Linked DNA regions of Lepisosteus oculatus. The main gene of each other region encodes a partner of the protein of the gene in region 2 in a complex. Links are inferred from orthologs where the notes say so. Each region holds a gene or a part of one and is shown on either strand. Other genes may lie near its edges.

The links.
Region 1: the proteins of ogdhb (region 2) and tcaim are in contact, whole or in part, in a cryo-EM structure (PDB 8I0K), measured with the Homo sapiens proteins. The link is inferred for Lepisosteus oculatus from reciprocal best matches to the Homo sapiens genes OGDH and TCAIM. Residues at the interface, in NP_001425937.1 of Homo sapiens: Gly301, Tyr304, Arg323, Tyr354, Arg356, Ile358, Arg364, Asn365, Lys387, Glu391, Tyr394, Cys395, Gly396, Thr398, Glu399, Lys401, Lys402, Lys561, Met602, Pro605, Glu667, Gly668, Ile669, Asn709, Met734, Ala735, Ser736, Pro737, Asn738, Gln772; in NP_001269842.1 of Homo sapiens: Glu214, Gln234, Arg235, Ser236, Trp237, Gly238, His241, Ser244, His247, Ser248, Arg251, Gln255, Asp272, Arg273, Thr286, Met287, Asp288, Val289, His290, His291, Glu331, Leu332, Gln333, Pro334, Val335, Arg375, Tyr376, Glu441, Ser443, His473.

Annotation. Positions count from the first base shown.
Region 1 is NC_090705.1:42,753,127-42,769,813, forward strand, and holds the start of tcaim (T-cell activation inhibitor, mitochondrial), read right to left. Parts: upstream 8,278-16,687; 5' UTR 8,207-8,277; coding exon of another isoform or gene 8,191-8,206; 5' UTR 8,040-8,190; coding exon 8,021-8,039; intron 7,781-8,020; coding exon 7,702-7,780; intron 5,465-7,701; coding exon 5,329-5,464; intron 4,869-5,328; coding exon 4,715-4,868; intron 4,350-4,714; coding exon 4,091-4,349; intron 3,642-4,090; coding exon 3,519-3,641; intron 1,308-3,518; coding exon 1,210-1,307; intron 862-1,209; coding exon 770-861; intron 134-769; coding exon 1-133. Other genes in the region: protein TOPAZ1, read right to left, coding at 9,915-10,143, 10,554-10,737, 11,606-11,815, 12,533-12,697, 13,441-13,606, 14,104-14,204, 14,415-14,586. UniProt on the Homo sapiens protein: May regulate T-cell apoptosis.
Region 2 is NC_090697.1:69,249,709-69,265,250, forward strand, and holds the start of ogdhb (2-oxoglutarate dehydrogenase complex component E1), read left to right. Parts: upstream 1-8,538; 5' UTR 8,539-8,699; intron 8,700-13,467; 5' UTR 13,468-13,641; coding exon 13,642-13,863; intron 13,864-15,542. UniProt on the Homo sapiens protein: 2-oxoglutarate dehydrogenase (E1o) component of the 2-oxoglutarate dehydrogenase complex (OGDHC). Participates in the first step, rate limiting for the overall conversion of 2-oxoglutarate to succinyl-CoA and CO(2) catalyzed by the whole OGDHC.

The DNA.
Region 1 (16,687 bases), on a different chromosome or scaffold from region 2:
CCTCCAGGGTCAGCACAGGCTGCAGCCTCTCCACGTAGATCACCTGCATCCCCCCGAGCAGCTGGCCCACGCGCTCCCTCAGGCCCTGCACCCGCAGCAGCAGGCCGCCGTAGCCGGGCAGCCGCTCGAACAGCTGTTGGAAGACAAGCAACCCCTCAAAACCGAGGCGCCCCGCGGCAGCCTCGCAAACGAGCTCGTTCATCTCTGTGGCACCGCTTTCGTCGCCGAGGGTCCCCTCTGCCGGTCGCGCCAGAGCCCATCCACCACCCTGTTTTTCAGGAAACGTCTGCATCACTTCACCTAATAACACCACGCAGGAGAGGTTCGGACTCCAGGAGGCAATCGCATCTCCTTCGGAAAGATGTCAGACCGGGTAAATCCACCTAGACCTGTCTGAACGAGCCCGAGTCCCAGACCAAGGCGCTTCCAGGCTGGTCTTCCCCCCACCTCCCAGGAAGAGGAAAAACAAGCCTGGATCAGACTGACTAGCTGAAAATTGGACTGGAACAGATTTACTCTTTAACTCTGAAAAACAATGTGAAAGAAATACATTTTACAGCATCGGACCTTTGCTCCTCCTACTCATGGCTTTGAGTTCACACATGGAACCATTGCTTATAAAACACTAAATTAGTACAAAGGGTTACATTAATTTGAAAATTGAATCGGAAAATCCTAGCCTTGATTTTTTCTGTGGAATTGAATTCCTATTTGAAGAAAACCAATCCTTTTATTATCGAGTGATTGTAAAGGAAAATAAGTGTCTTACTTTGGCCCACTGGTGATGGACATCCATTGTTCCTAGCATCACATGGCCAGCAGCACTCATTCCTGACCGGTCAGTAAATATTAATATTTGCCCTAAGGAAAGTAACGTGAGAGATTACACCAGTCACTCAAGGACCCGAACTGCTTTGTAACCATTATCAAATTTCTGTCACAAGCAAGAATGTGAGAGTTAAAAGCACTGAAGGACAGAATATAATTCTCGTTTTGCCCCCTTTGATCTGTAACACAAACCTACAACTGAATACACCCAGCCACGCTCTCAAGACAACTGCCCCCTGTTCCAAAGGGGAACAGAACCTAGCTGCACGGTTTTGACTGACGTTCCGTTTAAAAAGACAGGGTCCATCACGATGGGGGTTCAAACCCGGGGATGCACAGGCACGGCCGGCGTGTTTGGCAGGAGCTGGAGGGGGGCCGTACCGCGGGCGTGGCGGAGGACGTCTGGGCTCTGCTGGGACAGGCGACTCAGGCTCTGCAACAGGCTGCACCTGTGAGCAACACCCCAGCTGCGCTGCCACCTGGAGAGAGCAGGACTCAGGTCTAATCATTCCCTCTCTTGAACCGCTCGCTCACTAACTCGCTTGAAGGATTTCTGCCTGAAATATTTTGCTATGCATTCTGTCTGCACTGGTTCCCCCCCATTTCTCCTTTAGCCAAACCTTCTCCAGTTCACTCGGCTGGTGTGGAACGGTTCTACTCTTTACTGGCGTCCAGTCTTTCTAATGATTCTCCAGCGGCGACTGGGCTGCGGGACAGCAGCAGATACTGTCCATGTCTTAGGATACTGAGTATTAACACTGAACTACACTACTTATCACCATACCAAGCAGTTCACATTACACAAACTCAACAGAAAAAAACCTCAATCCACAAGAGAGAGTAATGTTTAAAGTCACAACACGGGAATTATGGCTACCATCCGAAGAATTGAAAAACCAATACATATCATTTTAACTGTAAATAATAATAATAATAATAAACTTTATTTTATATAGCGCCTTTAAAGGTGGCTTCTCAAAGCGCTTTACAGGATGACAATAACAATAAATAAGAAGAATACAACAATAAATAAGAAAATTTCACAAGACAGGACACAATTATAATTACAACAATACAACAATAACAATAGAGGAGACCGTGGAAGATGGTATTAAGAAGAGCAGAGGGGTGAAGAATGGAAGCAGTTAAGTAAAGGCTTTTCTGAAAAGGAGGGTTTTGAGTCTGGATTTGAAGGAGTTTAGAGAAGGTGACTCTCTAATATCCTTGGGCAAGGAGTTCCAGAGCTTGGGGGCATAGCAGGAGAAGGCCCTGTCGCCCATACAATGTAGACGGGCTTGGGGGACTATCAACATATTCAGATTTCTATGTCCAGTTTTGCCAGTGTACAATGTCTGTTATGATGCCAAGTTTATAAATAATCAAACCAGGCTCTGTACAATCATACAGGGACACAGGTGTTGAGAATACAGAGAGAATGTGGGTAAACGTCACTGCACTCACTCCACACAGTCAGGGCACTATCACTGTGTTGTGTGTAAGCAGTGCGAGGTTCATGGAACCTGTCCAGTTTCGTGTCCACTGCTGCAGAGGTTTGCAAGACAGAGGCAGTCTGAGCTGTGAGACAAACAGGCAGTAGGCCGGTCATCTTCGTACACACAGGAAGAACACTGTGCCAGATGTTAACTGCACACTTACAGATAATTAGGAGTTAACTGGCCTAACACTGTTTGGGCAGGTGCAGCTGGAGTATTGGGACACTTTTCTCAGACCAGTTTACGACCCCTTGCATGTGTTCAAATCCTTGTAGCAACTTTCCAGATGCAAAATCGAAATAGTTCTGGCTACTGGTGAAATCTCCAAAGCATCAACTCAAATCAGCAAACTGGTACAGAGGTTCATTAGAAGATTTTGAAATGGCTTTCAAAGACGCAGGTCAGGCTGCCATCTTGGCTGATGCAGGACACAAATGTAATCGTTGATTTGATCCTGTACGCTGGCCTAGGTGAGATTACTAGACCGCATAGTCTAAGAAAGAAAAGAAAAGGAAAGAAAAGAAATCCCTACCTAGGCTTACAGTACTTGGAAGTCTAATGACTCAAAGTGTTGCGAGTTATTACTTCAGTATTTTGTGGAACTGAAGAAACAGTTCTTCCAGAAGACTGAACTATAGCCTCTGCACTGATGTTTGTGTGGTAGAGGTTAAACTTTTAAATGTTAAAATATGCTATTAGATATAGAAAGAAAAACTAGTCACTTCTACACACCCAGCAACATGTGGGATCCATAAAGCACAAGTTTCAGAAGCCATGATAGTGATCTTTTTAAAAACATTGAGCTAGAATAGAACAGTTTGCAACACTGTTGCCTTTTGTTTTTTCCAGATAACTCTCTGAACCAGGAAATGTTAAATAATTTTATTCTTTTGCTAATGTAGTAAGATTCGTGGATGAAGGAAAAAATAAGCAAACTCCTAAGGGTTTTATGGTTGTTTTTATAATTTAAGTCAGAAAACTCCCACATAATCATTTTATAGTGAGAGTCAAGATATTTCACCTGAAGGAAGGAGGATCATTTATCAAATAGCTTAACACTAAAGAGGTGTAATTACTGTTGCTAAACACAGAATATTTAAATTTAGTATAATTTCTTTGATAGCTCCAAATTATAATGGCTTGAAAGGCATTTTAAAACAAGCTTTTCTTTTTAAGATCTTGGAATGAGGAAATTACCGTATGTCTGCGAGTCCCAGTGTCTGGCAGAGCTCTTTTTTCAGCCTCTTCAGCTCAGCTCTTCGAGGAAGGCTGTCTTTCAGCTTCTTTGTTGCTGTTGCTTCATTGCTGCTCAACCATGAGCTGTTGTAGATGCAAAGCACAATCAAGTAATGAACTTCAACAGTTCAATTCCACCCAAAACATGCGAGCAGAAATCAACTAAACAAACTTTGACTCAAAAGAAAAATGAATCAAGGAATTCTCAGAACGATGGCCATGAAGGATGTCTTGCTAGAGCAATCCCCTGGTCAGGGGTGCAACGGAAGTGCCCCACCCATGCTTTGAAAGCATTTTGTGAAAAACCAACGTCAAGTGTTTTGGCATTGCATTGTTTCTACCATTGGAAGAACACAGACAAAACTTAGGTGGCCGGACATGATCTAAATCAATGACTAAACTGAACGGCTAACAGAGTCCCACTTTATTGTGTCATAATCTGTTTTGGGGGGTTGATATTAACTGAATAATGGTTCACTCAGTCAAATATATCTTACGGTATCCCTATCCCAGAGGTCTGAAGAGCACGGTACCTCAACGTAGGCTTTCCTGCTTTCCTGGCTCTGTCCAGCTGCTGCTCGGGATCCTGGGATCCTGTAAATGAATAGAAAGTCTTGTCCCACTTGATGGGTCTATAGAACGGAATTCCAGCTCCATACATCTGGGTGTCTGGGCAAACACCGGCTTTCACGTCCTGCATGTGCTCCGTGGACAAGCTGCAAGACCTCAGAACGTCCAACACCGCGCTCCGCATATCCCTCGACTGCAAGGTGAAGCTAACTGCTCGAAACCCTGTGAAAGAAAAGCGTTCGAGACCAAATGAACGTTCATCTCATTTTATTAAATGTACAAAAATATCCAGAAAAGGGTAAAATCCTGACTTTGAAAGCTAACGGCTTTAGAAACTTTGTCTTAATAATAAATTGCCTACATTTACTGCTTTGCAGGTTATCAGAGGTCTGTGCATCTGACTTAGCAAGCCAGCATGATGCACACAGTACATTGACAAACCAGCCCCGACAACCCCACTGCAGTATAAACCTTTCAATTTACAAAGTGACACCTGTTGTGTACATCATCATTTGTCAGAACTTGAGCATTCAGACAGATAATATAATATATGATATAGATATATGGTGTGTGGTACTCCAGAGTACCTGAATTAAGGATTTCATGTTGAGCAGCATCTTTTTCTGCTGTTGTGTCTCGAACATAAAATGTTAGTCGTGTTGGTTTGAGGGACTGGACACCTGGCTTCTGAAGATTTTCTAAATATCCATTTAGCCGCTTGAGTGAGTTTTCATTCACCTCCTGCGAGACAAGACACTCAAATTTCCAACACCACACAGTTACAACATATAATGCACTGTACTACCTTAAAAGGCAATTGAATATTGCAATAAAAAAAAATCAAGAAAATGAAAATGCTGAAAATGTAACTTTTCACAGAAAGCACACTCTGTTTCTGCTCACAATGCAAGCAGGCAGTTATTGCATCTTGAAGCAGGACATCACTAACACCCACAATGCAATCCTGTAATTAAGTCTCTCTCTGAAGTGGACTGCATTTAAATTGGCTTCCAGGAAACACAAAATTCTGAAATTTGTGTGCCGTCTTAAGATATTAAAGAGCTAAAACACGATGGTATATACTGTACCATAATTATATTTTTTTCCTGCAAATTTGGTGTTTGGTGTATCAAATTGTTTTGATACCTGAAGCCACAACAACACAACACAAAACAATTTTTCGTCTGAAGGAGCTGCTTACCCTCTCCCTTGGATACTGGCCAAAGAAATCTGGGTGCACTGCGAAGTAGAAGGGCCGGAGCGCGTTGACGGCTTCTGCCCCCGACAGGAGTCTTTTCTGCAGGAGCTGTGCAGCCACACGCCTGCTGCAGTCAGCTCTGTGGAAAAGGGAAACGCCCGTCACAAGACTCCAGAACAGGACAGGAAGAGCACCCGAGACCCTGCAAACACGTCTACTCCTTACTTCTCAAACACATGCTCCTCTTCATCCAGCTGTCAAGACCAGTGCAAAAAGAGCTAAACACTAATAAACACTAATAATAATAAGGCACAACAAACAGAACAGTATATAATGTGCACCTGTCATATCTATCCATCCGCTTGCCACATGATATTTGCAATAGTGACAAATAAATGCATGGGTAAAATGAATTATAATACTGCAAATATGAATACTTCAGATTGGTGTCAAACAGACCACAGGGCTCTGATGCACTTTATCATTCCTTTCTGTTTTCGTAGACACCCACAGAAACCATTTAATGCAATTTAATTAATTCAGAATTCTGCCACTAAAACCATTTTCAATTTAAACCATTTCACCTTAAAATGTAAATGATGGTGCCAGAAGGCAGATACCATATGACAGTGCAGATCAATGACCGCAATATTTTAGAAACGCCCTGTGTCCATCCAGCTGTGCAGACTCGTGTACTTGCACTGCTGCACTGTCTGAAGTGGAAGAGTTTGTTCACATCCAGCCTGGAAGATCAAAGTCTGAACTGTCACACAAAGCAGCAACAGAAAAGGGGGCTCACATTAACAGCTCTAGTAAAACGGTGCCTGTGGGATAAATATTGCAACCACGGCCCAGTGAGAACATTTTAGTCTCCATCGTAGAGTATCTGTGTTTTATTAAGAAATTCAGAAACTTTTAACGAGACAACAAGAACTGAAAAACAACATAAAAACATAAAATACCTAAAGACACACACAAAGAACAAACAGCTAAATCTTGGTTATGGCTTTTTGAAAAAAGTTTTCTTGCTGAGATAAGAGAGATTAAATCTAAGAGAGAAATGATCACAGACTGTTTAGATGTGTGAAACAGTCAGGGACCTGTCCCAGACTCAAGTCTTTTTCACAACATTCAGGAAAGGAACCCGTATCACTCCACAGTGCCTGATCTATATAAACAAATCTTCTCTGTAACAGCAGAGATCATCTCACTGAACCAGCTCTTTCCAATAACACATCTCCATTCTATAAGAATCATTTTTTTGGCCAGAACTATTCTGGACTCCAGCGCTGACTGTTCTTCCTTTGTTAGTCTGAGTGTTGCCCCTGAACCACCGAAGAGAACTAGCTCAGGGTCCAGGGGGAATATTCTTCCCAAAACAATTTCTCCCTAAAGCGTCTATTACACCTTGGGAGACGGCCAGAAGAGGTGTGGGGAGTGCCTTCAGAAGATCTGCAGCTGTCACATAAAGGAGAGACTGAAGGACGGCCTAATTTGTAAGTCTGTAGAGAATCACTTGACTTGCTCTTATAGCTACAAGGCACACGCAGGTAAAGTTTTAGACAGCATGCGCTCCTCCCACTGCTATGCCACAGCTCCACGGGCTTTACCAGCCCACAGGATAACTGCCTTCTTCAACACCTGATCTGGAGCACATTGAAAAGCCTGCAGCTGCCAGTTCCCCTCACAAATGCACTGTACTATGAACTGCAGAGTCACAGGAGAAGGAACTGTGCCAGCTGCCAGCTCAGGCTGGGCACAATTCAACCCATGTTAAATCAGTACAATGACTGCAAACAGTCAAACCCCAGGACAGAAATCTGGCTCGTCACCACCACAAGGAGCTATAACAAGGTTTACCACCTGGAAGCCAATACATATTTTAGGAACGACATTTAACAGGTTAAAGATAAACCTCTGGACTGGTATCTTAAGACTATAAAACATTTTACAATCGGAGGCAGCCATTTCACCACTCTTAACAGCTTGGATTGTGTGCGCTTGAAAGAAGACTGAAGAAAAAGCAAATTAACAAAAAAGAAGGTATATTTCTAAAGAGAGGATTGATGTGAAGTACCAGCCATGCCTTTTACATTTCACTGGAAAAAGGTTAATACAGTTTCAAGCAAATCAATAGTATGTTCTACTTTTTTAGTGCAGTTTGGTAAAATGTCAAGTGGCTCCATCGTTTGGCTGCCTGTTTAGGTCCATTCCTGCACTTCTGCATATACAGACACAACCTGCTTAATCTAAGGAGCAATCCAAAAGCATCTGTTAACTTCACGCCATGCAAATAAACGAGAATGCACTAAATATCCCATACAAGAGGCTAGCATGTACAGCGGTTATGCATAGTGTTACAGTATTCATACATACCTCGTCAGAAACCGCAGAAAGCAGGTTACAGACATCTCACTGGAAACCGTTCTTGAAATCCACAGGTGCAGAGATTTTTCTTAACCGGCAAAAAGAAATGGGCTTTTTTACGGAGTTAACTTATCGTATGAAGAGGATGCAACTGGTAATTTGGTAAAACGAGTTGTTTTCACAGAAGACATCTTTCATGAAGCGCTATGACACATCCAGAAAATGCGATTACGCAAAGGAAGAAAACACAATGCGAGATTCCCGAGATATTTGAGACGCATTATAAGGAGGAGCAGCTGTAACTGTAATCGCAATCGTTAAACCCTACCTGGCAATATGCGACACATTCACACAACGACACACGCAGTGCAAGGACAAGACCAGCGCGCCTGCAACACATCATCCGCTGAACACAAACACACCGACACCGAGGAGCTCTCAAGTCGGCAGAAACAAATCCAGCTGCGTTTCACGCGTTTTCGGTTTTCCTAACGGTACCTCTCCGGGTGCACATTCATCATCTAAAGCTGCGGAACTATATTTAACCCCAGAGCAGCAAGAGGACGAGGCTGTCACCCCCGCATCTCCATTTAAAAACAACGAGCGTCGTCAGACAGAAGCAGTCGCTCACCCATTCGCTCCCCTCAGACGTGACGCAGGACCGGCCGCAACCAGCGCCACCTTCGGGTGAACCGCGGTCACACAGAGGCGACTTGCGTCTCAAGGCAAGGTCCTTCATTACTACTGATTTTTTTCCCCCTCTCTCAGCAAGAAGCAGGTAACCATCGGTTATTTCGTATAAGATGTAATGTTAACATAACATTTAAAAACACTAGCCCAAATTGGGTTGTGAAATTCACGAGGCGTTACTATTTCACATGACAGAGTCGACCACCGTATTAAATCACTGATACGAGACTCCTGCTGTGCTTATTCAACTTCTTTATAACGGAAGCAGAATCATTTCACAGTAGCTGCCGAATGTATTTAAATGTAGTTTTTTAGTCCATTCGTTTTGGTTCACTAAGGACTGCCAACACCGAAAAGCTGATTGCTCACAAACCTTTTTATTTTCAGATGTACCTGTACAAAAAATATAAATCACATGCAACTCCCATTGTTAACTTATCTTAAATATTTAAGACTCAGCAAAACACAATTTATTTACAGAAAGAAACCCTATAACTAGAATTACATAAATTGAAGCATTTTCTTTCTTATTCCCTACACAAGTCAATGCAGTAGTGGTGCAACATATCACATTTTATGTAGAATGTAGCTTAATATGTGAAATTAATACTCAAGTTGGTTTCTGCTCATTTCAAGTTTCCGAAACATTGCAAAGTGAGTTAAATTGGCATAAACCAACTCTTCTGTCTGGCAGACCCTTCACAAGTGATCCAAAGCAGTCTAATAGATGCTCTTACCAAATGCAAGCGCCAGCTAAACAGGACTGTTAAAGTCAAGGGTCTTGTGCAACATCTATTTTCCAAGTAATTGCTCAGTTCCTTTAGAAACCTGAAGAACGTGTAAGTTAAAGAATACAGCTGTCCCCATCTACCAGTGGAATTGTACAGGTGTAAATCTTGGAAGGCTCATCAGTACACGTATACATAATTTTGGTAACAAATACAGAACACTGGCAATAAGAAGTACATTCTGGGCACAAAATGCCATGAATGATGTAAAAGATGCCTTTTATTCAATAACCTCCAGCAGATTCAATGATTCACAAGGAAAATCTGCTTAATAAAAGCAAACCTGGGTTCAGCTATTCTTCGTTACAGTTGCTATATTCAGTGCAAGCGTTTGTTTTAACTTAATATACCTGAGGAGGTTACTTCCTAAATGACCACAATGCAAAACAAAAACGATATTCTTCTCCAGATACTTTTGTAACATAAAAACCTATACAGTAAGCTGGAGAAGGTACCTCATTCCAGGTATCCAATTCACCAATTCACAGACATCACGTCGACCCATTTGGAAAAGGACCTAACTGTAAAACTGACAAGCAAGAGAGGGAAGAGAATCTCTTGAAATGCTGGAAACAAGGTGCTGTGAAGATGCACAAGCTTGAACGCCGTGATAAAACTCAACTTAAAATAAAGCAAATGTTTTGAGTATGATCTGAAAAACCTATCTTCATCTTTATTGTGCACCATACATTAATGATTAATGTACAACGTTGCAGCTCTTCTTTGACGGGCTCCTTGAAGACGTCAGGAAACCAGCCAGGCCTTCCCAGCCCACTCCATGTTCTGGCTCAGCCACTTCAGAGCCGACAGAGGGTCCAGCGTGAACACCTGCTCTCCGCAGACGTTGACGGTGGCATATTTAATCACCAGCTTCGGCCTGGTGATCTGGGCAGCCGACACGAGTCTGCTCACAGCTGCATGGTAGTCACATTCACTGATCGACCCATCTTCCTCTTTCCTGGGGAGAAAACGACTGCACTTCAATTAAAAGCGGACACGTTTAGCGAAGTCATGTTTAGCATTTCTGTCAATGTGCAGCGAAATGAATTTAAGTACTTATATAGAAATATTCATCAGCAAAGGCTGTGCACCCAATAGAAATGATCCCTAACTGGTTCACAAACTGACAGAACTGCACTTTTGAGTACAGTGTTCACTAAAGCCTAAGCAAGTGTGACTTCTTCATCTAAATAAACCTTACAAACATTAAAAATAGTTCAAATATCTTTATTGGGAGCATTCTGGATCGCTCCAAGAAAAAAAAAAGTAACCTACTAAGCAACATGAACGTATCCTCTCTCAGATTTGAATACATTCAATTTACAGAAGTTTGTAAATGGTCTGTATAAATGTGCTTTTAATTCAGAAAGCTACAAAACATACCTTTTCAGTACAATCTGTAGAGCGTGTGTACAAGTACTTGGATTCTGAATGCTGTTTGCATTTGAAACCATGAACATTTCAAAGGCCAGTGTCATCTCGATCTCGGTTAGGGAGCAGGGAACGGAGAGAAGCCTGCAGTACGTGTTTTCTTTGACAGGGGGGTAGCAGCCCAGATGCAGCGCACCTGAGGACACAGAAGAGCAGGCTAGGAACGAGGAAGGCTGTGCTGCTCACCGTGCCCGATGTCCTTATTGTGATCTATACACTGTCTTTAATCATTTAACAACCTTTTTTTATAACCATCTGCGATGCATTTTCACCATGCACCGATCTGGCTTAACAGATACATACATCCAGTTTTCAATTACAGTTCTGTGTATTTTACTGTATTCATGTTTTTGACAGTGCTCCACGGAATGTGTGAACAACTCTGTAAAATGTCTACGCCTTTAAAAGCTATTTTCCTAAAATCAAGTGCTTTACTATATTTGTAAACTTGTTTGTTAAATCTTACTTGCTCCTGTGCAAGCATCTGCCTACAACTTTATTTCCTATAAGAATAATCACTTCACTTTATTATATATTGTTTTTACAATACCTCATGGTTTTCTGAACCACATCCAAAATGTTAAGCAAGATGCACTGCATTAAGATCCAGAAGAAAACAACAATACCAATTCTTCAGTACATAACTGGATTCTGCTTGTAGAACAATTCTGGTAAACCAGGGATGGGCTCTGGTCGTAGAGGGCTAGGGTGTCTGAAGGTTTTTAATCCAAGTCAGCTCTCAAAGGAGAGCTCATTCAGTGGCTGAATAATTACCAACACAGTTCAAATCAGGTGCTTTGAAGGGACCTAGAAAACTTATAACCACACTAACTTCCCAGAACCAGGAATGTCCATTTTTGGGTTGCACAATGGAAAATATCCAGCAGTCTTAAGTTTATAGTTTACAGTGCTTGCTGAGTAAACCTCATACTGGTTCAAAATGGCATAAACATGTGAATTCAACTTCCTAAAAAAAGGTAGAGGAAGAAAAAGTGAGCACTTACATTTGTATAGGGATCTTGCCTTCACCCACAAAGACTGTCTTCCCAATCTGTCAATTAAGTTCCTGAGCAGGCCAAAGTTCACAGGTATCTTCTTGCACACCATGAAGTCCACAGCGTTGGACGACACTGTCAAATTGTGCTGCTCAATGCAACACTTTAAGAGTCTGTTGAAAACTGGAACACACTGGGAAACAGATGGTGCATCTGAAACTGAAAAAAAAAGACTTTCATGAACAGAGGACAGTAAGTCATGGCCCTGCCCTCCTTCAATGTATACCTTGGCTTTCAAGGATAAGCCAATGGCACCGAAAGAGGCTGGAAACTGTGCCGCCTAAAACTGGCAACTATGATTAAATGTTTATGAAAGACTCTCCACTTCTGTGGCACTACATGAGATGCAGGAGGATGTCCAACTGTAAAAGACACGGGACCCCTGAGATTCTCCCTTCATGGTCAGAACTTCATCAATAAGGCACTGTGCACATCTGATACCGACAGTCTGTCACCAGCCACATCTCTTCAACACACGACCTTGTACGCATTCACAAGGATAGACATCTATCGAGGGAGAGATGACATTTTAAGCTATGAAAAGTCCATTTCGAGCACCTTCAGATAAAAAAAAAAATCAGATTTTCACCGACAGACGGTTTTATCAAACATACAAGAAACCGTATTTCTACCCAACGCACACTGTCCCAAACTGACACTGGGAACACTGGAAAGCCGGCAGCCAGAACACACACAGCATCTGCATTCCCCGTCCCCGAGCAGGTGGAAGACAGCCAGCCCCCGGTGGAGACGGCCTCGCTCAGTCACGGCCGAGTCAAAGACAGCGCCCCCAGCAGGCGGCCGTGACCTGCGCCCTCCAGGTCAGGGGGCCCAACCCTGACAGGCAGGACTCACCGCTGTGGCTCCATTCCGTACCTGGGAAGTCCTGGAGCCCGGGGAGCTTCGTCAGGGCGTCCAGGGCGTCTCCGAGCAGGCCCTTCCCCGCCGCCTCGTCCGCCAGCCGGCACAGCAGACTGCTGCGGCTCCCGGCGTCCCCGGGGCTGCACGGCCACAGCGCGGAGCTGCTGACCCACTCGGACGCTGGGGGAGAGAAAACAGAACCGACATTTTCATTCACTCTGCGTTAGGAAAAGTACCTGAGGCCGTGGACTTGCGGAGCCCACCGATTCCAAAACGACCAAATCTGTTTTGTACACTTGGTCAGAAGAGTACAAATAGGGCCAACACACCCTGCCCCATCAAACCCCCTGGAGCGCATGGAATCAGTTAACAGGTCTAACGCACAATCGATCGGCCAGTTTCCTAAAGTGGACGTCCTTCAGAGCGACAGGTGATGCCAACTTCATTACACTGAAATCGGCAGCAGCCAGCACTAAATGGATGCATTTACTAAGAAAGCCAGCAGTTTATTTTACCCTCTTGTGCTGGTAAAAAAAAAAAAATCAAACCTGCTACCGGGAGTCAAGCGGATTCATCTGGGCTTCTAAACTGAAGGAATAAAAAAAAATCATTTGGCTTGAACATGTTCTTGTTTTGTTGTTTCAGCATCCACTTCCACACAACGAGAATACAGTGACACCAGAACACACACGGTTCGCCTCTCATGCAATGGTGAAAGAAGCAGCTTTAAAGACCCTGCTGTCCACAGAGCAGGGTCTCTACAGGCTCACACTTCCTGGAGCAGGCTGGCGGCCGCCCTGGTACTAACACGGCCCGGCTGGCTGTTTAGCATCCGAGATTTGACAAAATTGGCCTAGAAGGAGGTAGCATGGCTGCCAGAATTAGTCACGGTTAAAACATGAATGCATCAGCAGAAGCACCACCTTTCAATACGTTTATGGCGCCTTCCACACTCCCAGTGTTGAGGTAGATATCTGCTGCAACGTTCACAACCTGGCACAGGGACACGTGGCGCTCATGCCCCAGGAGTCCTTTGAGCGTAAAAAAGTTGATCTTCATTCCGTTTAAGGCTTCCAACAATTTCCGACCCTGTTGAACAGAGCATTACTGTTACCTGTCCTATTACAACAGTTCCTTCATCTCCAGGAAAAGAAAACTTCTCGGCGGGAAAGAAAATAAATCGGTACCAATCTCTCACGCCAAATCATGAAAGACAAATGTTCGCCAAAGACATTTTCTTAGAGACACCGAGTTCATTATAAACAAGAAACATAAACATGGATAAGTCAATATGTACTGTGTGTGATCCAATAAAGTTTTTAAAACTCCCCCTAAAAGACTGTCATCTTTACTGTTCACCAGCAGGAGAATATGAATAAAAAAAGTGCTCAAGTATGAAAACTGTTCACATGCCCAACTGAGCAGAAAAACTACTGTAGTTACACCTTCTAGTGCCTAATCTCTACTTGCCTAATCAAACAAAGGCCTACATGAAGTCAATCCTTCAATCCACTTGCCTGGCGGCACCTGATGGACACCAAGAGGCCCTTTCTGTGGCAGTGCTCTTACCACACTGCTTAGCCTACCTTTGTCCACTGCTGTGTTTTGTGGTACCCAAACATCACAGAAATTCCAATTCTTCCAAGCAAAGTTCTGCCCAGCTCATTTATTCGGCCTTCTTGACAAACTGGAAAGACCATTTTGAAAACAATTGATAAATTATTCCCTTTACGTAAAAACTCCTGTCGCTATAAAGAACAAGCGTGACATAACTGGTAAATAAAACAACAAACACGGTAACAAAAACTTTAAAAACGAAGTAACTGCTACTCAAAGTAGATTATACAGTATATACAGAGGAGAAACATTTTTACATAAATAAAGAAAACCAACACACCTGTCTCGACAAATTTACAGAAAGGAACCAGTGGAGTTCTCTCAAGGTCTTTCAAAAGTGCAGAAGCAACAGAAGCACAGAATCTGTTGAGATTGGCGAGACTCCCGCTGGTGCCGCACACGCTGTTGAAGACACTTCCCAGCGTAGCCCAGTCTTCCTGCTCTTTACATCGCTGAAGACAAAGAGAAATCAAAGACCAAAATTCAAGTCCATCCCCTGCGGCCTGGGTGCCCGTCGCTGACCGAGTGTGACACACCCTCCGGGCAGCGCTGAAGAAACACAGAGGCTGGGCATTAGCCAGGCAGCTTTCTCTTGCGACTCCTCAGCTCTCTAACGGGTGCCTTCGCTAGAGCAGGCTGGCTCGTCTCAGCTGCCGTTTCAACTCGGCCTTTTTTAGTTTTTTTGACATTCTTTTCCAGTCCCCTTTGTGCATTTCACCGAACGCATCACCATTTTCTTCGCTACATTTTTAGCATAGTGGAAACCTGCGCAACAGAAGACTTCAGACCCACGGAGACACAGTTTCACACTCAGAGAAGTTGAATATTTTTTCTTTATATGTAGTGCACTTGTATCTGATGTTTTAATACAAGCTGGTTTCATTACTTATTCCAAAAGCTTGATTTGCTCACATGCACAAAACCAAACCGGATGCAAGATGGGCGAAACGCAATGAGAGCAAATCAGTTCCAACTCATGAGAAAACTTGCCAAGTTCGCAGACCACACCCAGACAGAAGGATTAGCATAAAAAACGGAAATTCAAACAGATGTAGGTTCCGTACAATCTAAGACAGTAAATGCATGGCAGATGACCTCAAAACGCAGACAAGTGCAGAGTGCTATATGCACGTACCGAAAACAAACTTAAGATGCAAAAAGGGAAACACTGAGCATGAAAAGTATACTTACAAAAACAAACTTAGGCATTTATGTTGACGCATCATTTACGTCTTCTAGATACAGTAGGGAAGCAATAAAAAAAGGCAGACAAAGTGTTAGTGTATACCATTTAAAGCGTAGAATTTAACTCAAGTGATGTTATAATAAAACTGCATTACGCACTAAAAACACTTGATTGAGAACAGTGAGTTATGAGTCTGGCAAAGCTGTCAAAGTTACTGCTGCTCTGGAATCAATCTGATTGAAACGAAAGCCCCCACACTGGAAGGCTGAGCTGAAGCCACTGAAATCCTCCAGGCACGGCCCTCAGTCACCACAGCGAGACACAAGTCCCAGGGCACGCGTGGGAACCGTGAGGACGGTCACCGAAACCCCAGACCAGGAGGCCACATGCAGTGGGAGGAGGGAGCTGTGAGCTGTGGCAAGAGCCCGCTCAATTCCCCACCTCTGTGCTCTGGGCCTCCATCAGCTCCACTGGGAATTGACCAGTCCTCTCCAAACTTTCGCACCTTGGTTTCTGGTTTAGAACGTGGCTAATAGGCGCTTCCAGATGTTTGTCCACTACCTGTACTTTTCAATAAGCTGCATGAATCATTTCAGCCCAGTTGCCAAGTGATTTATAGTTATGACGCAGCTCTTCAGGGCAGTTAATGATTAAATGATGAATATTTACTTGGTTTTCCTATTTATATTTGTTTCATAAGATCTCAGTGCTTCTTTTGCGACTGCAGAGACACTCCAGTATAGACCAGCAAGTGCTTCTGGTGTTATTAGAGCTGCTTTTTCATGTTTGAGTAGCAATGGACAGAAAATGCCGATATTGGGTACTGCTCATCCACGATCGACCAAAAGGCTCAGCTTGAAACTCACTTGGGCCTTATTTTCTCAGTATTTATAAGCTGCTATGAAGTCGGGCTCCCGTAGATCATTTTACACTGCTGAAAATAATGATACACAAAATGTCCAGGCAGTGGCTAGAATCACATTTCCATTGTTAACTTTTTTTGGGGTACTTTTAAACGGCTTATGTTCAAATCTCAGGCAGCCTGGGAATGTTATATTATAGACAGGTGCACCAGGAAAGATAAGACAGAAATGTGGGTCTCGTGCCAACCAAGTGGGCCGCCTGGCCTGGAAAACTTTTTCAAAGTCTTCTAAGGAACTGCCACACCGATTAAACTGAAACTTGGCAGACTACTAACAGCTGAAGTTCTGAGATTTTCACACATGAAAAGTTGGTGCATTAATTTTTACGCCTCTAAAGCGCAATAAACCGTTCTGAGCAACACAGACCATCTTCCGCTGCTTGAAAATGACGACCAATTAACTCAAAACCTTAGAGGTACAATTCCAGCACCAGCAGGGAGGATA
Region 2 (15,542 bases):
CCTAGGGCAGCAAGACCCATACAGCTGGGTCTGAACACATCTGTTGTGCAGGCCAGTGGAATCAGTGTCACTGCTTGGAAATGGCAGCAAACAGTACTGCAGACAGGATGTCACTGATTCAGTTAAAGAAAGGCCAGGCAGTACAGACGCTGTGCACAGTCTGGGTCGGGGGGGGGGGGGGATCGGGGGGAGATCACAAGCTGACCAAGGACATGTAGAGGGATCTTTTTTAAGGGCCTTGAAACTTGTAGGATTTAGGAGTTAATTCCGGCAAAACACAGCCTCCTTTAATTCACTGCAGTACCTTCACGTACGCTAATGTTCTGTGGAAAGTAAGATGAGGGTGAATTTTGAAATCATTTTTTGTTACCAGACCAGCTGCTGATACCTGCTCTGTCTGGAGACAGCCTGCTGGAGCGATCCGATTTTAGGGGTGAAAATTCAGTTTCCAGAGGCATTTTGTGCACATCTGGGTTCACCATGAAGGGACTTGGGGGAGTCAAACTAGAGGGAAAGTTACAGACTTTGAAGGTTAAGCAAAAACCGGTACGATCAAGCCACTTGCAATCTGTGATGCGCTAGGGGTTTTTTTTTTTGGTCCTTTTCTTTTTTTTGTTCACCCCGGTGCTTGATGTGATGATATGGATGTGTGTGCGTGCGCGCAATTTAAAAAAAAAACTGTAAATGGAAAAAAAAAATACCCCCCCCAGGAGAAATAGCCGCATGTTGAAAATGGTCTTTTGTTCTTCAGTGTGTTTAGCATCAAAAATAATCATTTTAAAAAAAAATCTAAGAAAAAATATTGCTGACCTGCAGTTACCTAGTAATATCATAGATGGGATTTCTTTGCATGACATTCTACAGGACAATAAGTTTGGTGTTTTTTGTTTTTTTACTGAATGCTGTAAAACTATGAACCTTTCTCTATTTTCTGAGCTTTGTAAGTGCATAAAACTATTTTTGTCTCAAGATGATGATGATGATGATGATAAACCTGTCATGATGATTGTATGGCATGCTTTTGTACAGGGCTCAGTGTTGTCACGGCAGCGGGAGTCTGCACTGCAGAGCTGATCGAGAGCAGCGTGTTCGTACAGCACGTGCATTTGTAGATGGATCACACCCAGGCACAGATTATCCGGCTGCGCTCTTGGAAGTATTAGCCAGTTATTTAACCGAGCTAATTCATTGATTTAAATGTTTAATTTGAAGTGTTTATCCTTGACGTTGAAATACTGCTGAATGTCAGACCCTGTAATTGATAAGGAATAAAATCTTTTTCAGATGATGCTAGTCGTGAAAAAGCACGATACAAGTGTTTGTCCCTGCTCTAACGGTTAATACCAGCCTGACTCGGCAGAGCAGCTTCTATGGAATAGATCGATCTGAATTGGCCACCATAGATTTTTGTGCTTATAACCTTGTGTGAAAGCCTGCTCTATTTTTCTCCCTACATGGCCTCTACACCGCTCACCTGTAACACAAACGCTCAGAGAAGCATGAGCTCCGTTGCACATCTCCCCCACGACCCCCACCCAGCTCCATCTCCAGGATGGAGTTACAGCTTAACGCAAGGCAACGCGCTAAAGCTAGGGCATCAACAGGACCATGGCCAAAACACAGAACACCTGCAAAGCCAGGAACCATCTGCAGACGAAGGCCATTCTGCAGCTGTTCAACCATGACCTCCACTAGGTCAGGGAGGCTGGTGGGGTGAGTTGTTTCTCTGTCAAATAACAACCGCAGCCATTTTCCCTCCCCTGGAAAACTCACAGTAGCAGCAGGGAGACGGGGCTTTCTTCTCCCTAGCCAACATCACCAGGAGTGCTCCCTGGCCACCACTGCCCTTATATCCCATGGACCTGCATTCAGCGGGGATTTTTGTATGAAGTAGAATCGTGGCGGGTAGGTGCATTCTTCATGGCCAACCATTCAATCTAGACCACTCCTCCCACCCCTACCCAGCAACCCACATCCCCTCCAAGATGTGTAAACCGTAAACTTTCCCTTATTGGGGAAAGGGAAAGCCATTAAGTTTACCCCCGTTTTGTCTTTTTCCCCCCCTCATTTTTAATTCACCAACACTATAGCTTCAACCACCAGGAAGCTGTTCGAAGTAGTGACCTAGTAACCTACTCAACCCTGCCAGGCTGATCCTGTCTGGGCAGGGTTATTACTCAAGAACCCAGACTAGCACCCATGCCACCATCTACTGCGTCTGCTAGGATTCCATTCTGCCCAACCTAGTGGGCTCAGACACCACTCCCAGCCTCCATTCTAACCTCAGGCAAGACTACCCTCTTGCTACCCTCAACCCTTTGGAGTGAGCACACCGTACTCTGCCCTGCTGTCATTTCCTTTCATAACCCTTGGAGTAAACCCACTCCTCAGAGAGTGCAACCACGAGCCAAACTGTACTTTTTCCTCTCTTGCACCTTTCCTACCCACCCATGTCCACCATCTTGCCGTCTAAATACCCTGCAGCTGAGAGACGGGTCTTTATGGCTGCTTACTTTGCTAGTGCCTGCACGCAGTGTGGATTTTGAAGGTGGTGAGGCATCATTAGGCAGAGCCAGTCCATTCAGGAGACGTGCTACTCCTCCTAAACAAGCACTTTAACATCCAGTCCAGGGAGCCGTCCTCTTTGATTGAGCCCTTTTCCATAACAATTCTTTCAGTCTTAGACTTGAGGTGAGGATGCAATCTCTTTTCCCCCAGGAAAAGGACCAAGTTCTTTCCCAAAGACTAAATATGGTACTTCCCCAGTCCTTTAGGGCTAAAGGGTAAAACTCTCAAGACCTTACGGTACTCTTCCCCATTGAGCACTTAAGACGGGACATCTTAATCCTTTGGATCTGGGGACCAGGGCAGCCTCCCCTGCTCCACCTTCCTCCAGAAGTCTTCAGACTGCACAGGACGACCTTGCTTATAGGTTTGTAGTCTTCTCCGAGACCCTTCTGCCTCCTTGTGCTGGGTCAATAGGGTTTCCCCAGGGAAAATGGTGAAGGGCTAATAATGACTTTCACTTCCTACAGCCCGATTTCCTGCTGTGCATCCATGGGAAGACCTCCCGAAGCTCCTCCATCTGTCACTGCCGTGGCAGCTGTTGCACACTGCCCTTCTCAGTCTGAGGAGAACTCGCTTCCTCTTGGCATCTTTTTCCACAGACAGAGTTTTCCAGCAAAAGATTAGGAGTGTAGACAAACGTTCAGTTGTTAGAGTTCTTCTTTCTGGAGTAGTTTGTTACTCTGGCTGGTCTGTAACTGGGCTTCTGTAAAGAGAATTGTGTCCTCCACCTCTCCTCTCCGCAAGGGCCTGCTTGAGTTGGGAACACCTCTACGGACTACTTCACTGCAGTGCAAGAGACTCTGGACTAGAGATCTAGGAGGATGGCCATTACCTACTGGGCCTCCTCTACTACCGCCTGGAGGCTCATGGTATAGCTGGGTCTGCAGCTCGCTGTTTTCTTGTGTCAGGTGGTTCTGAAATGGGCATTCACTCATCAGTGTCTCAGATGACCACACTGACTCTTCTTCTGCTCTTCATTAGGCTGTAGGACCTCATTCTTCTCCCTCAGGTCACAGGTCAATGCAATGGACTTTTGCTGCAGTTTTCCCAGTTCAGCATCTTGCTGGCTCCTCTGCTTGGGGTTCTGGAGAGTTTCTCGAAGCCCGACAGTCTTCCATGGAAAAGCCTGACGGCTATGACTGAAAGTCTGGCCATGCGTTTGTCCTTTTCTGGAACCAAAGGGTCCCAGTCACATGTTCCTGGCAGCTGGAACAACTGCAGGTCTGTGGAACTGTGAGCCCCCCTCCAAGGTCACATGATCTCCTCTTCAGGAGAGTTTCTGGACCAGGCTTCAGCTCTCTTCTCCCAAGTCAAGCTCATCTCACTTGAGCACACCAGACTGCAGCCTGCGTTCCTCCGCGTCTCCTGGTGACCAGTCTTATGTTCTTTCTTCTTCATCTCCGAGGTGCTGGCCTCTTCCGAAGAGGGAGCTGTAGAGTGTTCTGGCCTTGCCGCAGGCTCTTACCGGAGCAGAAAGACATGCCTCCTGTGGTCTGCGGGGCTGGGACCTGTTCATGCTTCTCACAGCTGCCGGTCCAGGGAGGGGGCGAGGGGGGTGGGCTCTACACCAGTCACACCATCTCCTGGCGGGCCCAGCTGATGGTCTTAGCTACCGCCAGCTCCTCTCAAGCACTGCCAGAGGAGCCTGACCCATTTCACTCTGTTACAGAGTCTTCTTTTCCCAACTCTTGTCTAGCTACTAAATCATCTTCCATTGTTTTAATTGCATTCTCAGGGAAGGAGAATAATTTCCTCCCCCTTTGTTTGGGTGAAAAAAAAATCGAGATGAGAGACGACTTGCATCGGTTTTCGTCTTTTTTGGGGGGGATTGCAATACTTGTATTGACCGCTAGGGCTGGTTCTTCTTAACCTGGTAGCGTGGTTTCGGACGTTCAACACCCGTGAACCACCTGTGAACCACCTGTGATAGGGCGCCTGAAACCCTATTTTCAGTCGACAGGAGAGCCGTTCTGTTTCTCCGCCCCCTCAAACCTACGGATATGTTTATTCTTTTTGTTTTCAGTCAAACACTGTACACTGGTCTCGCCTTTTCGGAAGCCTTTTAAAGAGAAGACTGCTCTACTTCAGCTGCAGCAGGTTCCGCTCCCGTAGCCTCGTGCGAATGCAAAGTCTGCGCTTGTTGATGCCCCGCGTGGGGCCTTCCACGCCGTACACCTGTAGCGGGGAAACCGCTGCTCCACTAAATCAAATCAAAATTCTTCAGTCAATCGTCTATTTTTAAAAGGGTCAAAATACAGTTTACGATCACGAAGCCATGACCACTCGCAAGACTGTTGTTACTTGGTTTGAAATTCAGCGCAGTCCATCACTTTTCAACACCTCGGTTATGGGTTACAGTTATTTCGCTCTTGAATTCTCTTGTTTTTTCAGTCTGAAACTCCAGACAAACCTGTACGTGAGCTGCCGGGTGTCCGAAGAAAACAGTATACGTTTGCTTTTAATCCTGCTGAATTTCCTTTGTAAATAAGACCTGCGGTCTACGTACACGTACGCTAGATGGCGCAATCCAATGCTGTCAAATTTTCGATTAAAAAGTGAAGAATAATGGCTGATAGAACAGTAATTATTTTCGTTTGTTGTTAAGAGCTTGCGTGTGATTGAAAATGCCATGTTTATTTAAACATGATATGTGGAAGGCACAGTTTTTACAATGCAGTTGCACCTTGGTAAAAACAAAAGTTTAAAACAGTTTATTCCTTATCTCCATCGGGGTCCAAATTTTCGATTCTGTTTTCTCTTCAGGGTAGATCTAATGTGTTTTATAATCTTTTATCTCGATTGACCTGGTTTAGAGGACAAACAGCATTGTGGCTTGAAAACTAAATTATTCCAAGGACACTAAAACTAAAGACAAGGGTGTGGCACGTTTGTAATAAATGGTGCAGATTTAATCTTAATCCCGGGCCCTTTATCGCAGCAGGAGGCGCCCACGATGCGACACTAGGACACTCCAGCACTTCCACGCAGCTTGTGCGGTAGTGGCCGGCAGGCGCTCAGGTGTCGCTTGAAGGCCAGTGCAGCCCTGGTCCTCGCCCAGTGCCCCTAGCAGCGCCGCCGGAAGACGACAGGACCTTAACATCCGTGTAGCATGATTCGCTCTTCCCGTCACAGTCCCACTGCAGGGTCCCGCAGCGAGGGTGGGGGGGAGCTGGCGGGGGAACCACACCGCCCTTCCGAAACAAGAAAGGGAGGGGCAGCAGCTGGGGGGGAGGGGCTTACCCGGACTCGCTCGGGGTTCTCGTCGCTCCTCCAGCCCAGGGTCAAGCCGCCTGCCCCGCGGAGAGGTGGTCCTGCGTCCGCTCAGCTCTTCGGCTCTGTACGACGCTGCTCTCTCTCTCTCCTCCTGCTGCCTGACAACACCGAGCTGACGACTCTTTGTAGTATTCCTTCTGCCTTTCTTCCCCCCCTTGTCCTTCTTTTCAAAGTATAGTTTCTCCGCAGTTTAAAACCTTCTTTTCTTTTCTTTTTTGTTTCTGTCAGTTCTGGTTTCTATGAAGATATTAAACTACTCTATTTCTCGGATGATTATTCTGATGATTACTGTTCTCCGATGTGCTCTATGTGTTCTCTGACTTAAGGAAATGTGTTAAAATGTTATCAATAAAAGCAACAACTTCAATATAAGCCCTCCCTTCTCTCTCTCTCTCTTTCTCCTTGCTGTTGTCGTTTCCTCTGTCTGAAAAACATTGAAAATGCCAGAAGGACTGTAGCTGATCCAGTGGATCCTGGCTTAAACTAATTAAAATGTCTTTTTATCGTTGGCTAGCATGGCTGCCTTGTAGCACCTGGAGTACTGTCTGTGAGGAGTTTGTATGTTTTTCCCAGGTCCACATGGGTTTCCTCTGGGTGCTCCAGTTTCCTCCTACAGTTCAAAGACATACTGGGTGAGTTGGCATCTGGGAAAATTGGCCCTGGTGCGAGTCTGTGTGCCCGGTGATGGAGTGCCGTCCTGTCTTGTCCAGGGTGTCCTTGTGCCTGTTTCTTGTTGGGATAGGCACTCCCCCACAACCCTTAATTAAATAAAGAATTTAAAAAGGGATGGGTGGATGGAATAGCCAGATTCTTTAGCTGCCACTGAGCAAAAGCTGATAAAACGAGGAAGTTATAGTGTTCCGGGCAAGGTGATGACACCCTGTGGTGACCGGTGTCTCCTGCAGTCTGTCCGGCGGACGAAGAGTTCCCTTTCCTCATTGCCAGCTGCTGTCTCGCTGATTTCTGGCAGAGAGGAGGAATGCACTTGCACCAGCTGACAGGGCAGAAACCTCTCGTGACGTGGAAATGACGGCTCTCGTATCGACGCACCTGCGGACGTGATCCCCCTCTGACCCCTCCACCTGGCCACAGATGCGCCCCCCCCCCGGCACCCCTTCGGCGCCCCGCTGTGCTGATGCTGCAAGGCTGGTGTGAGCAGAGTCCAGCTCCTCCTTGCACAACAAAGGACAAAGTCTCTCCTCCTGACCCCCCCCCGCCCCCCCCCACCAGCACTCACTATCACAGGCGAAGTGATAACAGCGAGATCACGCACACCCCCGGAGGCACATGTACACAACACCCGCACGCAGCCTCTCACATCGACAGATGGACTGTGCTCCCACACCCAAAGACAGCTATACAGACACAGGTGAGACAGACACACAGCATGTTTCTGCACCAGGCAGCAGGCCTGCACGGACGCAGATGGACTGTGCTCCCACACCAGCTATACAGATGCAGGTGAGACAGACATACAGCATGTTTCTGTACCAGGCAGCAGGCCTGCACAGAGACTTCAGAATCACACTGGCACAGCGCTTTCTGAGACTGGTGCAGCTTGCACTGGGGGAAGGGCCTCTCTGACTCACCCCTCAACTTAAGCATCCTTTACAAACAGAGGGTGACTAAGAAAGCCAAAAGCATCAGGGAGTGTGTGTCTCACCCCCTCCATTGTGAATTCACACTTCTCCCATCTGGGAAATGCCTCTGTGCCCCCCAGGTATAAAACCAACAGACTCAGGAAATCTTTCGTCCCCACTGCAATCACTCTTGAACAATGCAAAGTCACTACCTTGTCTCTTGTTTCTTTTCTCCTGTAACACTTCTGTATTCTCTTCCCTTTTGATGATGTGCATTTGTCATTGTGTTGTGTTTGTGTCGTGAAACTAATTTCCCCTAGGGGACAATAAAGCTTGAATTGAAAAAGATAAAGCTTGAATTGACAGCGTTTCACGCAGTGGTGTTTGGGGTGGGGGTGGACAGAGTTTTCACTTCTCACACAGCTGTAAAACTGACCACCACTCTTTGGCCTCAGGAAGGGCAGCAGCGGCCTCTCTGCTGAGGTGGGAGAGGAGCACAGCTGGTCAGGAGCAGGCACGCCTCATGCGGACTGTAACCAGGGTGAGAAACCACCCTTGGCCTACTCCCACCAAGCCCTTCATTACATCAGCAGGGATGACTGTCCAAAGGCTGCTCTAGAGTTTCCCATTCACATCCCATCCTGTCACCTAGCAGCGGCAGATTTCTGGTCTCTAGGGGCCAAGACCACAGCAACACACAGGTGAACTCATCTTAAAGAGGTTAGGGAGGCTCCCCACTCACACACAGCACGGTGTGACAAAACCTTTAGCAACGCACATTCCCAATGCTCGGGGCCTGGATTTAACACCGAGCGTAACCCAACTAGTAAACACCGGACCTCGTGAAATCAGGACGCTTCCTCCCGTCAGGACTTTAAGTAGCAAACTTCTTCCTAAAGAGTTTATTTTGTCTACGTGTAATTCACAATGTAAAAAGCTGAGGAATAAAACGGTTGCTTCTTTTTTATATTTATTTAGCAAAAAATATTTTTTCCTAACGGGCACTACAATACGCTTAACAAACGGCGAGCTCGTCCTTTCAGCTAAGGTTACGTCTCCCAGCGTGAGGGTGCGGCACGCCAAAATTCCTGTTCGTGACGTCAGAGCGCGGTGACGCAGAAGGCCTGGACTCGGAGTAGTCTTGCTCCGCGCGCTGTCATTTCCAGTCTGGAGAATCGGAGGGCAGTGCGGCTGTGAGGTGCCGAGCCGCTAGTTAACTAATATTCGCCGAAATACTTACAGACTTTCACCCGCTAACCGACTAAAGGAGAACAAAACGTAAGTCCTCTGCATTATTTCTAGATAGGTTGCATTTAGAAAAAGAACGGCGCGACTAAAAACCGGGGGAATGAAGCACATCTCTGTGACGGCATAGAGAAGTAACTTAGGATCTTTTAGTAATAGGTAGCGATGGGAGCAGACCTTCTGTAGTACCTGTCTGAACTCCCGGGCAGGCCTTGGGAATGCCAGGCTGTAGTTTCTTTCCCCTGCAGGAAAGGTGGCTGAAATATTCTAGCAAAATTGTTTCTGTAACCCGGTACGCAAGGAAAGGACACAGTGATGGACAGTAGCGACGACCCAATCGCACCGCCGCGGTGTAGGCGGGCTGCTGCTAACGCAGCCAATCAGCGTAGCTTTTAGCAAGGATGGAGGCGGGACTGAGCCGGGCGGGACTGGGCTTGGTTGAGTTTAAGGAGAGAAAGTGCAGTATAGCGAGGACGCAAGGTCAGGACATAAGCGTAGTCCGCTAGTGGGACAAACAAGACGCGGGGGGGACATAGGCTCTCTGGGAACTTCACTGGAGGTTCAGCGCAGAACTGTGACCGGGTCCCCGTGCTGCAGAAAGCTGCCTAGTTGTTAAAGGAGGGCTGTTTTGCTGCACTCACTGCGGCTACGGGTTGCCATGAAAAGAGACCCGCGCATACACACACAACGCGCGTGTGTGTGCGCACATTGTGTGCGTTCCTGGAAGCATGAGGCGAGATAACACTTTTTTTTTTTTACAGCCCCGCACAGTACTCTAGTCTTTCTTTTTAATGCTGACTTCAGCAATCAATACATAATGAGGAATGCATAAATTACTCCAACGCTTAGAAATAAACGAGCAAAAGGGCAAAGTTCTATGTGCTGGGACCTACCCCAACCACCATCGCCTCTTCTTGGGTCTGTGCTGAACAGGGCTCTTTTGAGTTGTCTGTTATTCAGCCACAAACGCTGTTCAGCTCAAACAGAACAGAAGATACATGGCTGTAGAAGCAGCAAGGGCTTGAAAAGCAGATAACATGTAAAAAATGAAGTATCTCTTGCATTTCACAATTAAAAGTGTGCAGTTCGCATATAGGTGATCTTTTATATAAGATCTTTTCTTGGCCATTTACATGTGGAGCTTGCACTCCTTTTGTATCTCTTTTCACAGTACACCATCTTCACAGTAAAATTAGAAACGGATAGAAATACATCTCAGGGCTTAAAGGTGCTGATGGACTTGGAGATCAGTCCACACAGTCCTGGGGCTACCCAGCAGGATGCGAAGCCTGTGACTTGTTCAGAGCCCTGCTTGAGTGATGCAGGGACTTGCACAAGAATGTCGACAGGAGCCCATTCTTCTTCTGTAATTGGAGAAGGAAAAAAAATCATAACGTACCTCTGTGAAAGCATTCCAATAACCTTAGGAAGGAGGCATGTCATCCTTTCACAACAGGCCTGCTAGCGTTGTTTGCAGTCGCAATCTGTTTGCTGCGTTGTTGCTTGGTGTCCACTCTCTCTGGGTCCTGGATCATTCCTTCTGCTTGTGTTCTCACCTTGTGCGGCGCATAGGCGCGGGCCTTATTTTTTCATTTCATGCTGTTCGGCTTGGTGCACACGGCACAATCTTCACCGTGAAGTTTTAGATGTAACGTAGAGGAACGAGTGAGTTTCACAGACACGGGTGTCTGTGATGAGCCGCATCAGTGCTGTGCTGCTCGTGAGTGGTGAGTGCCGATGATTCATAGTAGCTTCAGCGTGATGTACAGCACTGAGTGGATGAGGTCTGTATGTGTGCACTGGACGAGGAGCTTAGTCACCTCACGTTTATCTCAATACAAATGGAATGGAGGGCAGCATGGTAGTTAACTGGGTCCTGGCTTCGATTCCAGCCTGGGTCTGTTTCTGTGAGAAGCTTGGAATGTGGGAGGGAATCGCAGCACTTGGTAAAAACAATTGCTGACTAGGTATAGCGGGCCCGGTGACGGACCTGTGTCCCATCCACAGTATCCCAACCACTGGGAGAGAGGCTCCAGGATGCATATCAGCAATCCGCAGTTTTCCGATAACGGATCGATGGAGTTAGACTTCACGGCAGTTGCTGTAGCAAGACGAGGGAGAGCCACAGTAATTGCTGATGTGGTACATTGTGCAGGAAAGCACATGACTGCATACGGAGCACAGGAGCAGTCCTGAAGATGGGGGAGCCATCAGCTTGAGTTCTGTTGTTACTGTTGTATCCTCAAACATGCCACTGTGTGCCCTGTAGTCTGGTTTGCCTGACACTTCCCTGATCTGAACCTGAGTGGATCTTCATTTTCCTGCCCAGAAACACCAGCCAGCATCAGCTTCCTCTTGTCCCATGGCGAGCTCTGCCCGAGACTCCATCTTTAACCTTCTTCCTCCATAGAAATTTGAGTCCTATGATGACAGTCTGTGGGACTTTCTTCTCTTTCATGTTTCAAGCAGTTGCCCTTTGCCCCCCCCCCAGACAAGGCTGAACAAACAAATGTTTTAATTGTCTTTTTGGTTTGTTTAAGAGGAAGGGTCCCGAGAAGAATTCAGGTTACATTGTCTTGGATTATGAATTAGCTGCACATGGAACACTTAATCCTGTTTTTACCCCTTTGGATGGAACAGGTGATGCTCATCTGATTAGATTTCTTACTGGACAAACCAAAGTCAGACTTTTCCGATTTGACTTGCAGACATGGAGTTTGGACCTTCCGTGAATTCTCCTCCCACATATCCTTCTTTTTTTTTACTGCCCGTGTATATTTCTGGATCCCAATATGTGCAGTTTTTAAAACTGAAACTTTGAATCTCTTTTCTGGCTCTGTGAGAATCCTGACTGGGGCAAGCTGCCAGACAGCTCACGTGTTCCTGAGCCACAGTTAATGAATATTTGGAGTTGCAGGTCTTGACTGTGGTAGGCAGAGCCCGCACAGGACCCACATTACTGACTGTACATGTCTGCTCCGATGATCTGTCTTCCTGCTCAGTAGAGAAAAAATCTACTGTGTGGATTTCAACTTTGCAAGCTGAAGGCACACTTCCTCTTGCCAAATAGGCCTTAGCCATTGGCAGCTGAAGCTGAGTTCTCGGTGTGACCACAGGCTGACCTGGGGACACGCCTGAGATAAGCTCGAAAGCTTGCATGAACCTGCGTTGTCAAACAAGTGATAAAAGTCAGGCTTTGCATGTTGCAGGTTCCAGAAGCGATGCGACAGAGCGTTAGGTGTTATTAAGAGGAGAGCCGTAGCCCTGGAGCTCAGCTCACGCCCTGGCCCGCCCTGTGAGGGTGTTGGGTAAGAAGCAGAGGGTCCCCACGTGACCTCGTGCTGCCCCTCGGGACGTGAACTGAACAAATCAGGTTTGGTTCTCAGGTTCTTCTAGACCTCGGGCCTCAGCCTGCGTCCCCAGGACAAGGGGGGGTTACTTGACAAGGAGCCCCTGAGAGCTCAAGTGATAGAGGAGTCTCTGACACAAGGGCCTTGACAGAGGCCCATTCAGGTGACTGGTGACTGCAGGGCGTTTCCTTCCCTAGACTGCAGACGGAAACAGCTTTGCCAAATAAGGAAACCCACTGTCACCGTTTTCTCCGCTGGATACCTAAATGAAGTAATCAGGGTTGAGGTTTAGGGAAGGAATTTGACATGGGAGGGTACAGCAAAGTTGTTTTACTCGCAGTGTATTTCACCTTTTCCTTTTATGTTACATTTTTCACCTCTTACAAATATACAGATTCCACAGTGGATTACAGTGTATGTGCCATCGTGTTTTTTATATATCCAACACCTCTACTTCTCTCTACAGCTGTTGTCTCAGTTACAGCGAAAACTCCTCTGACAGCAGAGTCATTCTTCAGTTCTTCTGTGATTTGGCAGGCCTTTGTCAGGTTGTTAAGGCTACTCTCGCCTCTCTCAAAATGTCTCTGGGGGTCAGTGTAAAGAAAAACACCTTCCGTCTCCATACTGCATGTCTGTGCATTGTGGTGGCCTGGGGGTTTTAGGTAGGTAGGGTACACGTCTTGCACAGAAGCAACTGAGGCCTGTAGGCTAAATTGAAGTAGACACTAGGGCTGTCTCTCTGCAGTGTTTGGCGATCAGACCTGGCTATAGTTGTGGTTCTGGGAATGTTTGGCCTGCTTTCTGTAAATAGAAATTCCTTGAACATTAAAGATGATCTGTCTTCTGCGGGACTCGGGTCTTGTAGTACAACACATGTTGTTGCTTTAAGTAGCACTTTTCTGTGTGCACTAGAGCATTTCGATGCTGTGCTGTGTTATTAATGACACAGTTAAAAGTTCAGATATTATATAATGCTGCTTTGGGTCACATTAGGGTGGCTCGAGGACTACACTGTGGTCCGGTTCTGCTTTTCAGACCAGTGAAGTCGTATTTATATTTAGCTTTGGGGCTTTCGGCTTCTAATGTTTGTCAATGAGATTAACGTAACAAAAATGTTAACATCCGGCATAGAAAGGGCAAGGTTTATTCCACAAAAGCTAGACTGGGGAATGGTGTCCTCCTCATCACGTGCTGAGTGACTGTCACCATTGTTTTTCCTAAACTGCGTCCAGAAAACATTCCGACACTTAGAATACTGGTTATTCTGCTTTCCTTTCTTTAGGGAAATGTGCATTTTTCCATTGTGACTCACTGTTGTGTAAAGCAGCTTTCAAGAATCTGTTGTTTTTTTTTTTTTCATGCCCATTCGACAACAGCCACAGTGACCTGAGAATTCACGATCGCTGTAACGCTGTCGTCTTTCCTCCCGTTGTTTCCCGGTGCCTCTGCAGAGACAGGGCGTGGGGATCCGCGAGGACGACGCCGGGGACGCGCAGAGGAGAGTTCCAGGGAACAGCAATCCCAGCGAGAGAGAGAGAGAGAGAAAGAGGGCGACAGCGAGACGGGAAAAAGAGAGATTTTCAGTAGCGGGTGGCCGGCGGAGCCGTGCGTTTTAAGGGACTGCAATGCACCGGTTAAGGACTTGTGCTGCCAAGCTGAGGCCTCTCACGGCCTCTCAGACTGCTCAGAACTTCTCACACAAAAGGCCGGCGGCCCCGAGGACGTTTCAGCCAATCAGGTGCTACACTGCGCCTGTGGCCGCCGAGCCCTTCCTCAGCGGGACTAGCTCAAACTATGTGGAGGAGATGTACTATGCATGGCTGGAGAACCCCAAGAGCGTACATAAGGTAAGGCGCCGAGGATGATCGGGCTAACGAGCCCCGGGGGAGGGGGAGGACAGGCGCCCTGCGTTCGGAGGGCTCTGTCTCTTTGTGTCTGTAAATTTAACGGAGGAGGAGATCTGTCGGGAGAAGAGGAAGGAGGCGCCGCGAGGCGAGAGAAGGAAAGGAGTCTTCCCCAGAGGACCTGCTGCGTGGGTTCGCTGTTCGACGTCCAGCGCACTTCTGGGATTTCCACTTTGCAGTTGCCAGAGTGCCTTTGACTATTTAAAGGTGCTGCAGCAGGTTTTGAAAGCTGGATGAGTGATGGTGGTGGGGGGGGGTAGTGTTGTGTGGTCTAAAACAGATGCGATCTTCAGCAGCCCCTGGGAGCCCATGAGTGGGCTGCTTTTGATGTTAACTAATCTTCTAATTATGCAGTCGACTTGGAAAAAATAAATCTATTGTTTTAGGAGCTGCGAAAAGCTAAGACGTAGAGACCTATAAAATGCTGGTGGGATGCAGACCTCCCTGAATGCTAAAGTCTGCTGCCTCTGCGTGTTGAGGGAATGAGCTGTGTTGAACTGTACACTTCTCCTTTGCTTTTGCTGTGGTTTGCCTTTACGAGGTTTATTTCCCAGTAAACTGACCTTGACTTACAGTGCTTTTTTAAATGTGGCACGTCCTTTCCTGCCTTTACCCAAGACGTGCTTAACTAGAGAAGAATTAGTCAGTGTCTACACATGCAGCGAGCACAGAACTCTGGTTTGCGTTAAGACTTGGTTGTGAAGCCCTGTGTCAGGTATATTGAAGAACTATCCCTACAGTGTTCTCTTATCTTTCCTTTTACCATGTGTGTGTGTGCGCACGTACTTTTCAAACAAAACTTTATTTGTACTGTAGATTTTGGAAACGCATAGCAACCATCATTCCCGGTCAGATACAATCACATTTCAACTGGGACTTTTTTTAAAGTTGCACTGCCACCTGTTAGGGAAGGTCAGATAATGGCAATCTGTGCAGTGTATAAATGGACATGGGAGCACTATTGAACAATGTCAATATAAAGGCTATCCGTTGTGCTATTTTTAAGGCTTTAGTCTGCGCTGCGTACTTACACTTTTTTGAGAAATTGTAGAATCTTTTAATGGAGTAGAAAAAATAGTTGGTGACCTAATCTGGCCTTTCCCCAGCAGTCTAAGTTTGCGATTATACTTGGGGAGCAACTTGAAACTCTGCTGCACACTTCATCGTTCATGTGCTCAGTGTCAATAAGGACACCCCGTTTAATCAAGCAAAAGTATTTCATCCTAATAAAGGTATGATTCATCATTCAATTTTAATAGCAGAGCTGCACATCGCTGTAAACGCTGGCCCAGATCCACCCTGCAGGAGTGGTGATTTGACAAGCTACTGACCCCTAAAGATCTTTGAGCCAAAGGTTGAGAATCGGCATGCGAAACTCGAAACGGCCTGAGATTTATGATAAATGAGAGCTTTTGTGTCCCGTTTAAATCAACACTGACTCCAAAAAGAATGTAAATAAGACGCTGATTTAATTCATAATCATAATTGCTTACACTTATATAGCGCTTTTCTGGACACTCCACTCAAAGCGCTTCACAGGTAATGGGGACTCCCCTCCACCACCATCAATGTGCAGCCCCACCTGGATGATGCAACAGCAGCCATAGTGCGCCAGAACACTC